2 linked regions of the Coturnix japonica genome follow. The protein of the gene in region 1 interacts with the protein of each later gene in a pairwise test. Links are inferred from orthologs where the notes say so. Each region holds a gene or a part of one and is shown in the gene's direction. Other genes may lie near its edges.

Evidence for each region. The genes of interacting proteins can lie anywhere in the genome.
Region 2: the proteins of AP1B1 (region 1) and KIF13A interact in binary tests that used the Homo sapiens proteins (3 or more experiments, as listed by UniProt). The link is inferred for Coturnix japonica from reciprocal best matches to the Homo sapiens genes AP1B1 and KIF13A.

The regions. Positions count from the first base shown.
Region 1 is NC_029530.1:9,936,411-9,942,120, forward strand, and holds the start of AP1B1 (AP-1 complex subunit beta-1), read left to right. Parts: upstream 1-1,918; 5' UTR 1,919-2,037; intron 2,038-2,142; 5' UTR 2,143-2,158; coding exon 2,159-2,195; intron 2,196-2,420; coding exon 2,421-2,526; intron 2,527-3,069; coding exon 3,070-3,205; intron 3,206-3,832; coding exon 3,833-4,078; intron 4,079-4,720; coding exon 4,721-4,911; intron 4,912-5,383; coding exon 5,384-5,605; intron 5,606-5,710. Other genes in the region: NEFH (neurofilament heavy polypeptide), read right to left, coding at 1-680. UniProt on the Homo sapiens protein: Subunit of clathrin-associated adaptor protein complex 1 that plays a role in protein sorting in the late-Golgi/trans-Golgi network (TGN) and/or endosomes.
Region 2 is NC_029517.1:68,522,061-68,528,038, reverse strand, and holds the start of KIF13A (kinesin-like protein KIF13A), read left to right. Parts: upstream 1-2,492; 5' UTR 2,493-2,919; coding exon 2,920-2,974; intron 2,975-3,070; coding exon 3,071-3,161; intron 3,162-5,978. UniProt on the Homo sapiens protein: Plus end-directed microtubule-dependent motor protein involved in intracellular transport and regulating various processes such as mannose-6-phosphate receptor (M6PR) transport to the plasma membrane, endosomal sorting during melanosome biogenesis and cytokinesis.

The DNA.
Region 1 (5,710 bases):
CCCGCCGGAGCCGGGGGTCCCGGCCATGAGTGGAAGCCGCTGGAAGAGGCGGCGGAGCGCGGAGCGAAGCGAGAAGACTCCTTGCGGAGCCCCCCCGGGGGGACCAACAAGGCCTCCAGCACCAGGCTCATGGTGGCCCCCGCCCTCACTGCGGCACCACTGCCGCCGCCGCCGGCTTTATAGGGGCTGTCGGGGCCGCCCCGCCTCTCCACCGGCACGGGGTCGGTGACGGGCACCGGCAGCGGCACCGCCTCGAGCAGCCGCAGCCCTGAAGGCGTTGGGTGGGGGGTCCGGGAGCCGGGCCTCAAGGTGGAAGAGGGACCCTGAGGAGACGATGGGAACCCCACGGGAGGGAGTGGGGCCGCCCCACGAGGCCATAGGCTCCCACGGGGCCTCATCTCTACCTCAGGTAGGGGTCGAGAGCTCTTCTGTGCTGGAGGATCTGCACTGCAATGGGGCCCCCATCCTTTGGGACGGGACCCTGGGCAGCGCTGTGGGGTGTAGGGTGTGGGCTGCTCTACGGTTGTCTTCGGGTGAGCAGGGGGGTAGGAACCAGGAGAGAAACCCACGGTGCAGCCATCACCCTCTTGCTTGAGCAACTGGCACATGGGGCATCCAGTGCTGGAGTCCATGGAGCACCTGGTGTGGGCATCCATTGAGCAGCCAGTGCTGACATCCATGGAGCACAGTGCCAACGCCCAACGACAGCACTCAGTGTTGGCATCCACATGTACAATGTCAGCACCCAATGTCAGCACCCATGGAGCACCCAGTGTTGGTATCCACACGTACCTAATGCCAGCACCCAGTATCTGAACTCGTGGAGCACCCAGTATTGGTACCCAAAGAGCACCCACTCCACCAGCACCCGGGGACCACTCGATCTGGTGCCTTGCCGTCTCCTCAGCCAGTCAGCACTCTCTGACCACCCCATCTATGCGGTCTCATGTCTCATCCCAGCCACTCAACACCCTGCCGGGGGACCCTGGAGGTGGGCTGGTGGTGGGGCCGCAGCTGCTGCACGTTGGGCTGCGGGGTCCCCGTGTGCTGACCTTGACAGCCCGCTGTCCTGCGCATCGCATCCTCCCTACTCATCACTTTCTTTTTTCCCTCCCCCCGCCCACACTGCGCGGTGCTGAGGGTTGGAGCGTTGGCGCACGGAGCTGCTGCAGTGCCGGGCAGCGCTGGGATGCAGCTCTGCAGAGCAGCCAAACCCGCGGGGCCGCTCTGGAGTGGCCATACGGCTGTCAGTGCGCGGAGGGGCTGCGAGGTGGCCCCAGTGCTGCTGTGGTTCCAGGAGGATGACACAGCGTGTGCTTCTGCCCTCCAGCATCGTGTCCCTCTGTCCCACGTTCTCCATCCCCGTGCCACGTCCCCCTGCCCTCTGCCTTTTCCCATCCGCTGCCCCCAAGCTCTGTCCGCACCCCATCTCCCCCATATAGCACTCCCATCCCCTGTTGCCGCTCCCCGCCCCATCCCTTGTCCCATCCCTGCCGCTTTTCCGTCCCATCCCGTGTCCCTGCGCTTTGTCCACATCCCCATCCCTTCCCTTGTCCCGGTGCCTCCCCTACCCCTGTCCCCTGTCCCCACCCTCTCCTCGCCCATCCCACCCCATCCTCTGCCCACACCCCATGTCCCCACTCCTGTCCCCATGTGCTATCCCGTCCCTCACCCCCCGTCTCCCCCTTCCCAATCCCATGCCCCTACATGTGACCCAGCCCCCTCTATCCCGTTCCCATTCCTCGTCCCCCCATTCCCACCCGCTGTCCCATCCCCATCCCTTCCCTTATCCCACCCCACCCCCTTTCCTCCGCCCACTTCCCACCTCCCATCCCTTCTCCCACACTACACCCCTGTTCCACGTCCCCATCCCACATCCCCCCCCATATCCACCCCATTATCCCCGTGTCCCCACGCGCTGTCCCCGCTCCATCCCACCCCCATCCCGTAGCTCCGCCCCCTCCCCCGTATCCCCTCCCCGGAAGCTCTCTCTCCTCACTTCCTCTGGGCCGGGGGCAGCGCTCGGTGCGGTGGCAGGTTCGGGCCGGGGGCGGCGGAACCGGGGGGGGGGGGGGGGAACCGAGAGGTTTAGGGGGTTAAAATGAACGTGGTCTGTTAATGGTTACGTGCATCTCCCGGCAGGGAACGCGGCGGCACCATGACGGACTCCAAGTACTTCACCACCACCAAGAAGGGTGAGGGGGCTGCGGGGAGGCCTGGGGGGGGCACGGGGCTGTGAGGGGGCGGCCCTTACCATAGGGAGAGATGGGACAGTGTTTGTATACACACACAGGGGGAGGTTGGGCCGCGCTGTGCTGGGCCGGGCCGGGCTCTGTGATCCCATTGGGGCCCATAAGTGGGGGTCTGACACCCACAGACCCCCTTAGAACCTCCCTGCTGACCCCCTGCCTCCCCTATAGGGGAGATCTTCGAGCTGAAGGCAGAGCTGAACAGCGACAAGAAGGAGAAGAAGAAGGAGGCGGTGAAGAAGGTGATCGCATCCATGACTGTCGGCAAGGACGTCAGGTGTGTCCGGCCTCCTGTCCCACGGGCTGCAGGGCAGGGGGGGAATAGTCACCAAAGCTGGTTTTGCCCCGGGGTTTGTGCTTCAGACCCAGCACAATGGGCTGCTTAGGCCTGGTTGTGAGCTTGTGAGCACAGGCTGGTTGTAGGGTTGTATTGTGGGGTTGTGGAGTCATCTGGGATGGAGGATACCTTCTAGGTTGCCAGCTCGGTCTAGGGAAGAGGAGGGGTCCCCTTGCAGCCTTTCAGTATTTAAAGGGAGCTTATAAAAGAGGGAGAGGGTGACTTTGTACAGCGATAGGGCAAGTGGGAATGACTTTAAACAAAGAGAAGGGGAAGCTTAGGTGAGGCGTTAGGTGGAAATTCTGTACTTAGAAGGTGGTGAGACCCTGGCACTGGGTGCCCCATTCCAGGAGGTGCTCAAGGCCGGGTTAAATGGGGTTTGGTGGCTCTCCCAGGATAAAAGGGGCACACACCAGCAGGGCATCATGTCTGTGTTAACACCCCAGTCACTTGCCCTGAGATCTGCGGTGCTTCACATTTCAGCGCTCTCTTCCCGGACGTGGTGAACTGCATGCAGACAGACAACCTGGAGCTGAAGAAGCTGGTCTACCTCTACCTGATGAACTACGCCAAGAGCCAGCCTGACATGGCCATCATGGCTGTCAACACCTTTGTGAAGGTGAGGGGAAGGGACTGTGGGGCGGCACTTTGGCCTCCTGCCACCGAAGGGAGGGCAAGCAGCTGCCCAAGGCTTTCCCTCAGCAAATCAGGGCTCCCCTTGCATGGGATAAGAGCAAATTTGCCCCATGGTGCAAGAGTAAAATGTTTGTGGTGTTGGAGATGCCCCCTGTTGAGCTTGCTGCAGAGAACGTGGTCTTTCTTTTGTGGGCAGGAGCTGGGGAGTGTGTCTGTTGGAAGCCCCTGGGCCACCAGATCCTTTTGTGGGGAGGCTTTCCAGGAAGTTTTGGTGTTTTTAAAAGGAAAAAACAACAACAGTGATTGTGCTGGTTGTGTTCCCCAGGCCGGGTGGCTGTTCTGGGGGGTGCTGGGTGGGTTGTGTCCCTGGTGTAAGCCGGGCACACGCCTGGTTCTGTGGTGTGTTTGGAACAGGAGCTGCTCTAACAGTGTTAGAATTCAGTGGAATGAGACTGAACTCCTTCTGTGGGATGCACTCACTCCACTCAGGAGCTGAATGCAAATAACCTCAGGACTTCAGGAACCCGAATTAAAGTCAAGGTCCTGAAGCTGCTGCTGATGGCTGTGGTTGGAGGGGCTGGAGCTCTCACTGTCCCCTCTGGCCCTGCAGGACTGTGAGGACCCAAACCCTCTGATCCGTGCCCTGGCCGTGCGGACCATGGGCTGCATCCGTGTGGACAAGATAACAGAGTACCTGTGTGAGCCCCTGCGCAAGTGCCTGAAGGATGAGGACCCGTATGTGCGCAAGACAGCGGCCGTCTGCGTGGCCAAGCTCCATGACATCAATGCCCAGCTGGTGGAGGACCAGGGCTTCCTGGACACCCTCAAGGATCTCATCTCGGACTCCAACCCCATGGTGATCAGACCTTGCTTTCCCTGTCTGGTGCAGCAGATGCCCTCCTTTGTTTTTGCAGCCCTGTATCCTTGCTCCCACGTTCCTCTTCATTTCTTGATGCTTTTTGCTGCTTGTCAGATTGCTTTTGGGGGTGGCTGTCCCTGGGGTTGCTTTTCTTGTCCAATAACCGTCTCCTGGCTGCTTTTAGATGTGAGATCTCATTATTTCCCCTTTGTTATTAGCTTCTGCACCCTATGGGGAGCAGGAAAGGCATCAAACAGGATTTGCTGGCTGGGAATGCTGTGATGCTGCATGTTTGGCTTCTCACACCAGCTTGCACTGATGTGGTGGTGGCTCTCTGCTGTTTCCCTGCTGAGGGTGACTGCCGGGAGGGGACAGGAGGAGCACAGGGCTGTAGGATTTGCCCACCCAAACTGCCAAGTAGTGATGGGGGAAGAGTCACAGTGTGGGTGGTGGTGATGTGTGCTGATAGCTCATCTGCACATCAGCTTGTGTGGAGGAGAAGCTGGTGCCCAGATGTCAGAGCAAGGGCCCCACACTGAGGACGCATCTCATCTGCTTGCAGCAGCTTTTCTCCAGAACCACAACTGCCATCCCATTGTGCTCGCTGTCCCTTCACACGTGTCCCATCTCCTCTGGCAGGTAGTGGCTAATGCAGTAGCAGCGCTGTCGGAGATTGCAGAGTCGCACCCGAGCAGTAACCTGCTGGACCTCAACCCCCAGTCCATCAACAAGCTGCTCACAGCCCTGAACGAGTGCACTGAATGGGGACAGATCTTCATCCTGGACTGCCTGGCCAACTACATGCCCAAGGATGACCGGGAGGCCCAGAGGTGAGGGAGGTGGTGGGGCAGGACGGCAGGGTGATGGCTGGACGGGGCTGACGCAGCCTGTTCCCTTCCAAGAAGTGCCTTCACACTTCCCTTCTGCACTGCTCCCCACCCTTGGCTTCCTGCAGCTGGGGGAGGAGCAGCTGACATCAGCACAGCACTGTTCCTGGGGACTCACAGTCTCTTAGTGCTGTCCCCACACTGACACAAGGAACAGACTTCTCCAGTCATGATCTTAACGTGCATCAAGGGAGAGCAGCCTGGGCACCAGGGAGATCCCACTGCAGATGGGGCTTTACTGGGAAATAACCATTATCAGGAGCCTCTAAGAGCCAGCTCTGCATCTTTTGGGGGCAAACCTCAAGTGCAGGCTGTCTGCTTTGTAACAAACCCTGCCAACACCTCATTCCTTGGAGTTCCAAGTAGGATGCCTGGCTCTGACTCTTCCCTTTTCCTTTGCCCTCACCCCCTGCAGCATCTGTGAGCGGGTGACACCCCGGCTGTCCCACGCCAACTCTGCGGTGGTGCTCTCAGCAGTGAAGGTGCTGATGAAGTTCATGGAGATGCTGTCCAAGGACCTGGACTACTATGGTACACTGCTGAAGAAGCTGGCCCCGCCGCTTGTCACCCTGCTGTCTGCTGAGCCCGAGCTGCAGTACGTGGCTCTGCGCAACATCAACCTCATCGTGCAGAAGAGGTGGGTGTCCTCCTGCCTACAGGTGCTGGGTGCCCAATGTGCTGGGCCTTCTGATGGCTGGAATAGCATCCAGGCTATTTTCTGACACAGTCTGTCATTTAGTCT
Region 2 (5,978 bases), on another chromosome or scaffold:
TCTCACCTTCTTCATCACCCCAGAGCTCAGTACTTTGAAACCGTTTTATCTCTTAGTACCCATTTCAGTCGTAACACACGCACAGTAGATAGCAGCCTCCACCACAAAGGTGTCTATACATGCAAATCTTGAGGTGTTTTGATTTAAAAATAAACTTAGGAAAACAGATACTTTTGTGTTGGTGAGCATGATGCTCAATCATATAGTATCACTGACATTTCCTCCACTTTTTATGTAAATGCTAATAAAATTTCAAAATGCAATGTCACATAGCGATCTGTATCTTGGATGTAAGCACAGCCCAGAGCATCTTGCAGAACTGAATCAATTTGTTTGTAATAAATCAATTTTAAAGACCTCTTAAGATTAAAGACTATCTGATTAGGTTCTTTCACAGAAAACACAGGCTCCAGTAATCACATCGTCAGATAATAACAATTATACATATATTAGTTTTATACTCAAAATTTAACTGTGGTCAACGTGGTTGTGCTAGAATAATTATTTGCACATCTGCAAACACATCCGGGGTTATTTGGTTTCTGGTTCAGTTTTGGATGGTGGTAGAGTCTGTATGACCTTGGTAGAACGTCAGGCCTTTGGGGTTTCATAAAGCTTTTTGCTGGTCTTTTCTTTTGAGATGGTAGTGATGAACTCCTTTCCACTGAGACTTCTGACCACAGATCAAATGCCCCTCTTCTCTTGCAGCCAAGAATTTGCTATACTAGAACATACTCCCCTGGCTCTTATATCATTATTTCTTCTCCCTTTTACAGGGTTTTAAAAACCTGCTTTCCAACACTATGAGTTATATATATACACACCAGTTCTAACATCCAGGTCCATTGGAAGCTAATTATTTTTTCAGACTTGATGATTCTGTCCGGCACATTAAGAGGATATTTCTGTACAAGTACAGATTGCTCTCTGGGCCGTCTAATGATCTTATGGGGCCCAGAGGACATAACTCTCTTACTATTGTGCTATAATGCCCAAGGTTTCGTGGAGACCAAAAGAGATATATTCTGCTACATTCATCCTGCCTAATAGATCTAGATATCTATTCCAGATAACAGCAAATATTCCTTCCCATAGCCAAAATCTCAGGTAGTCTCATAAGGACACTTCTGTTTCTCATTAGCTAATATCATCGTTTTTATTTAATCTTGCAGTGATGCAGTTTTCCAGTGAGAAGTGGAAAATAGAGATAGAAGGGATTATTCTCTGCCCCATCTGTTGGATGTTCTCTCCTTCCCAATAGCATCCAAGCTTCGCAGAACTCAATTTCTGCAGAGCCATTCCAGACGTTATACTATATTTTGAGCCAGCGCTTCCTTCCTTTGGTGTCCTTATAGTATACAGCCATAAACAGGATGCCTCATTTCAACATCTTTCTCAGTTGAACCACATACTTACGATGCATTTCATAACAAACCTAATTCCTGACGTCTACTTCCATGGGCAAGAAATCTGTGCATGCCAGCACTTTCCCTAAGAAAGCAAATTAATTACATTATTATAAATTAACAGAATTGTATCAGAAGCTTCTGCTAGTGATGTTCTCCAGATAGTTGGCTCTATTTGGATAAGTCTCTCACCACGCTGAGTGCATGTCTCATATTTCTTTTCAGCATTCCTGTGACCAGTGGCCATTCAGGGGCAACAGGACTGACATTCGTGCTCATCTGCTCACAGCTCTTCTGAGCTGCTTTGCAGGGCTCATCTGGCTGGTGTGGTGTGCAGCAGCGTCAGTCATTTTTACCTCTTTTCGTAAGGCCTGCTGTTTCTCAGTGCAACTATCTGCCTATCCATCGTGTTTTGTTTAGCCCATCCTCCCTGCAGTAGTTTAGACAGAATAATCCTGGCTGGATTTTAGCCTGCCTTCAGTAAGCAACATGATGCAGATATCAGTGATTTTGCAACTTGGATTCCAGCCATTTAGTTGCACTAGAAAACAGGGCTCGAAAGACAGGGAAATATTTTGCTGAAGCTAAGGAAACACTTCTGGCAAGAGGATGAGGCTTTAACGAGACAGTTGAAATAAAAGCCCTCCTGAGATCATAAGGCTGCTGCGGTTTATCTCAACAGTTTTCCTGGCTTATCCATTAAAAGCGAGGCCGTCCTCGGAGCGCTGGGTACAGGCGTTACTGTTTGTAATGCTTTTCCCTGATGTGAGCAGACAAGTTTGCGAGCAGACACAACTCCTTCCTGCCCTATTTGGGCAGCCACTTGGCAAAACCCGCAGGTCGCTGTCTGTGAGAAGCAGATTTGGCACTTCACAGATTTGGGATGTAACCGTGGTGCCCCTCTGGCTCAAGAATCCCCAGCTGTGACCCTCAGGAAGGCACACACCACCTCACCCTCACAAAGGGAGAACAGGACAGCCCTACAGCCGCCCCACAGCCACTGAGGGGGCGGGGATGGCGGGACGGCCCCGCCTCCATCATCAGGCGCCGGGAGGGCGGCTTGAGGGCAAGGCGCAGTGCCCGGCTTCCCCGTCGCTCCCTGCGCAAGCGCCGCTCCTCCCTCCATTTCGCCGCCGCGGGGCGCTGCTCTGCCTTTCCTCCTTCAGCTCCCCGTCCTTCGGTGTAGGGCTGAGGAGAGGCGTGGTAGCTCGGATCTCCGAGTGTTTCCGATGCTGTTCGGCGCCTCCCCGCCGCGCTTGAAGATGGCGGCTGGGATTGGCGGGGCGGCGGCGGCAGTTATGCAAACGATGCCGTCGGCAGGCAGCGCCAGAGCCGGCTGAGCGGGGAGGCGACTGGGGCTGCGCCGCCGTCCGTCCTCCGCCTCCCTCTCCTCCTCCTTCTCCCCTTCCTCCCCGCCCCCCCCGGCCCCTGCCTCGCCCCGGCCCGGCATGGACGTTGGCGCTGCGCGGTGCCGCTGAGCGGGGCCGCCCGGCGCAGACGGGGGGGGGGAAAGATGTCGGACACTAAAGTGAAGGTGGCCGTTAGGGTCCGGCCCATGAACAGGAGAGGTAAGCGGGGATCCGGGCGGGTGTGGGGAGGGGGAAGCACGCCCGCCCTCCCCCCCCCTTCCCCCGACTTCAACCCCGTGCCGCCTCTCCTTGCAGAGCTGGAGCTGAACACCAAGTGCGTGGTGGAGATGGAGGGCAACCAGACCGTGCTGCACCCGCCGCCTTCCAACAGCAAGCAGGGAGAAAGGTAAACGCCGTGCCCGGCTGTGGAGGGGGGTGGTGGATCGCTGCCCCTTGGGGAGGTGCGCCGAGAGCGGGCGGTGAGGAGCTGGGGCTGGGAAACAGCCTGTGAGAACGAGCGAAAATAGTCCCGAAATCTGGCGTGTAGTTGTGATGCCCCGGTAAAGAATACCCTTGGAAGTAAGCCAAAAATACCAATGCACCAGACTGTAAAAATAGATCAGAACAGGAAAAGATTTCTTTCCTTTGAGGGAGCGTGGGGAGGTGCGGGAGTGTGGTGTTGTGTGCTTATCTCTTCTGTGTTACCTGTTGACAGCCCCGCTTCGTTCAGCTGTTAAATATTTGCGATGCTATGGAGCGTGGATTCATTTTTGTGGTTATTGAGGTTTTCATCTGAACAAATCCTTACTGTTCAGGATGTCATTAAGAATATATTTGAGTTTGTAATAGCAATGAAGAAACTAGTGTGAGGAGATAAATATATTTCTTTCAAAGGCAACGTTTCAATAGTTTTCCAGCAGTAAAGGTCTGGACCTTCTTGTTCTTTGTTGCCGGAGATGTGAAGGCCCCTCTCACGTGAGTCTGAATACAGGAATATAGCTGCGATCGTGCCAGTTCAACTGAAATCCTACTCATGTAGTTTTTAGGATCATTTTATAGCTGGTGTGTTGGCCTGAGTCTTGAGAGAGCAGTGCTTGTTCCCAGCTCATTTCAAAGATCTTTGTGTGACCTGCGATTTGCACTACCTCTGTGTAACATCACTTCTGTAAAATGGGGATCTTGGTTCTCTTGAGACTATTTTGGAAAGTATGTTTTTGTAATTGTTTATTGAACTGCGTGTGTGTTGTTTGCCACAACACTGCTATAGTCAAATCTGCTCGCTTTAAAGAGTTAATGCTATTCTTACAATGAGGCAGTGAGACAGTGGAACAGGTTGCCCAGTGAGGTTGTGAATACCCCCTCTCTGGAAGCATTCAAGGTTAGGTTGGATGGTGCTTTGAGCAATCTGGTCCAGAGGTGTCCCTGCCTATAGCAGGGGGTTGGAACTAGAGGATCTTACAGCTCCCTTCCAACCCAAACCATTCTATGAATGCCTGTAACAAATGTAAGCTCTTCTTACCTGATCTGAACTGGCTTCTGGTTGTGTCAAGACTCGGAGTTGGCTGGCTGCTAAACATTTGACTTGTGTGTTGGAAGGAAGCAACTGCCTGACGTGAGAGGATTGGAAATGCTAGTACTCAGAAGTAACTCACTGATGCAAAAATATAGCTTGGGTATGTTTTAAATGACAGGTGTTGCTGGAAGGCTGTAGCGCCTTGTGGAAATCTGTACTTTTTGGTTCATTTTTTAGCTGTTCGTTTTTGATAAGGAGTTCAATTCCCACGTTGAAAAAAGAATTCCATTCTTCTTCCCCGCGTACCCAAATGAAGTGTCTATATAGACTGACTCTGAATTGCTGAGTAGCTGTTGCTTGTACTTGGATGGGTGCCTTGGCAGGGTTAGAGATGTCAAATGGATTTTTGGTTTTCTTTGTGTAGCTTGTTTTTACATAGCTCAACTGGATTTATTTCTTTCAGAGTAACTGTGTCATTGCAAAAATGATTTCCCTTGCTTGTGTGATTAGCCAGTTTTCATGCTAGGTTGTGTGATTTTAATATTGCTTGGTGTTAACTTTTGACTTTTATACTTTTTTTGTGTGTTTTGTTGGTTTTTGTTTTGAGGAATAGAAGTATGAGCTTGTGCTGTGCTTTGGAATTAGGAAAAGTGGTCTTCTGAAGAAAACTTGGTTTCCAGGGCTGCTTTTCTTAGTTGAGCTGAAGCTGAGAAACTATAGTGTGGGGGTGAGGAGGGGTGGAAATCAGGACCCTGCTCTTTGTTTGCTTTGTTCTCTATTTGCTCAGTTGTAATTTTAAATGTATTGCCAGAATTTTCTAAAGCAAAATTAAGTGACGCTTTCATGGTTATAGGACATATTCTTCCAAAAGCAAGTTAAGATTAGAAATATCAGATTTAAGTAGTTCCACCTATTCTGCAAAGAGTTCTTGAATGAAATCCAAATTGAGATGCTTGCTGTTCATTAATATCTACAACTTATGAAGGATTCTTCTGAAGGATTTTAGTTGGGGAAAACTATGATCGTTTTGCAAGTGGTGAAAGAAGCCTGAAAGCCAAAATTGCTGTCATCTGTCCAACTTCCACTATTGTGTTAGTTATAAAGCAGTAACTCAGAACCATCAGTTAGGGTTCTGACTCCCTTTCCTTTTCCTAGACCGTACAGCATCCCTCCCTTAAGAAGCACAGCTTTGAGATAGTAATTGTTACTAAACTTTGTAAGCAGTGGGCCTTTCATTCTGCACAAATGGCTTTCTTAACTAACAGAGGAGAAACAAAACATAGTAAAACCTGACAGTCTGAGTCTGAAAGACACAGAAAAATCTTTACTGACTGTAGGAATAGTAGACAGAGGGTTCAGAAACAGTTTTCACTAGCAGGTTTCAGGTATATTCTCTGTTGCTAGCAAATATCTGTGCCTTTAGCCTTTGCTTTACTATTAATAGCAGCAGTTTCCTTTATGTCTGCCTTGAAGGTATTTCTATGGTGTTACCTCTTCATTCTTCCATCCATTTTTCTCCCTCAAATGAGTTATGCTTCATAATTTCGTCCTCTGTCGTGTTATAAATGTTTGCATTTGGTTGACAGTATAAGGTGTACTGTATTGCAATATAACTATGGAATAAGTTACAGCATGGAGTTAGACAGGCTTTCAAAATATCTTAAAGTTTTTTACTTTTTACAATGGAAATATGAAACCACAGTCTGGGTT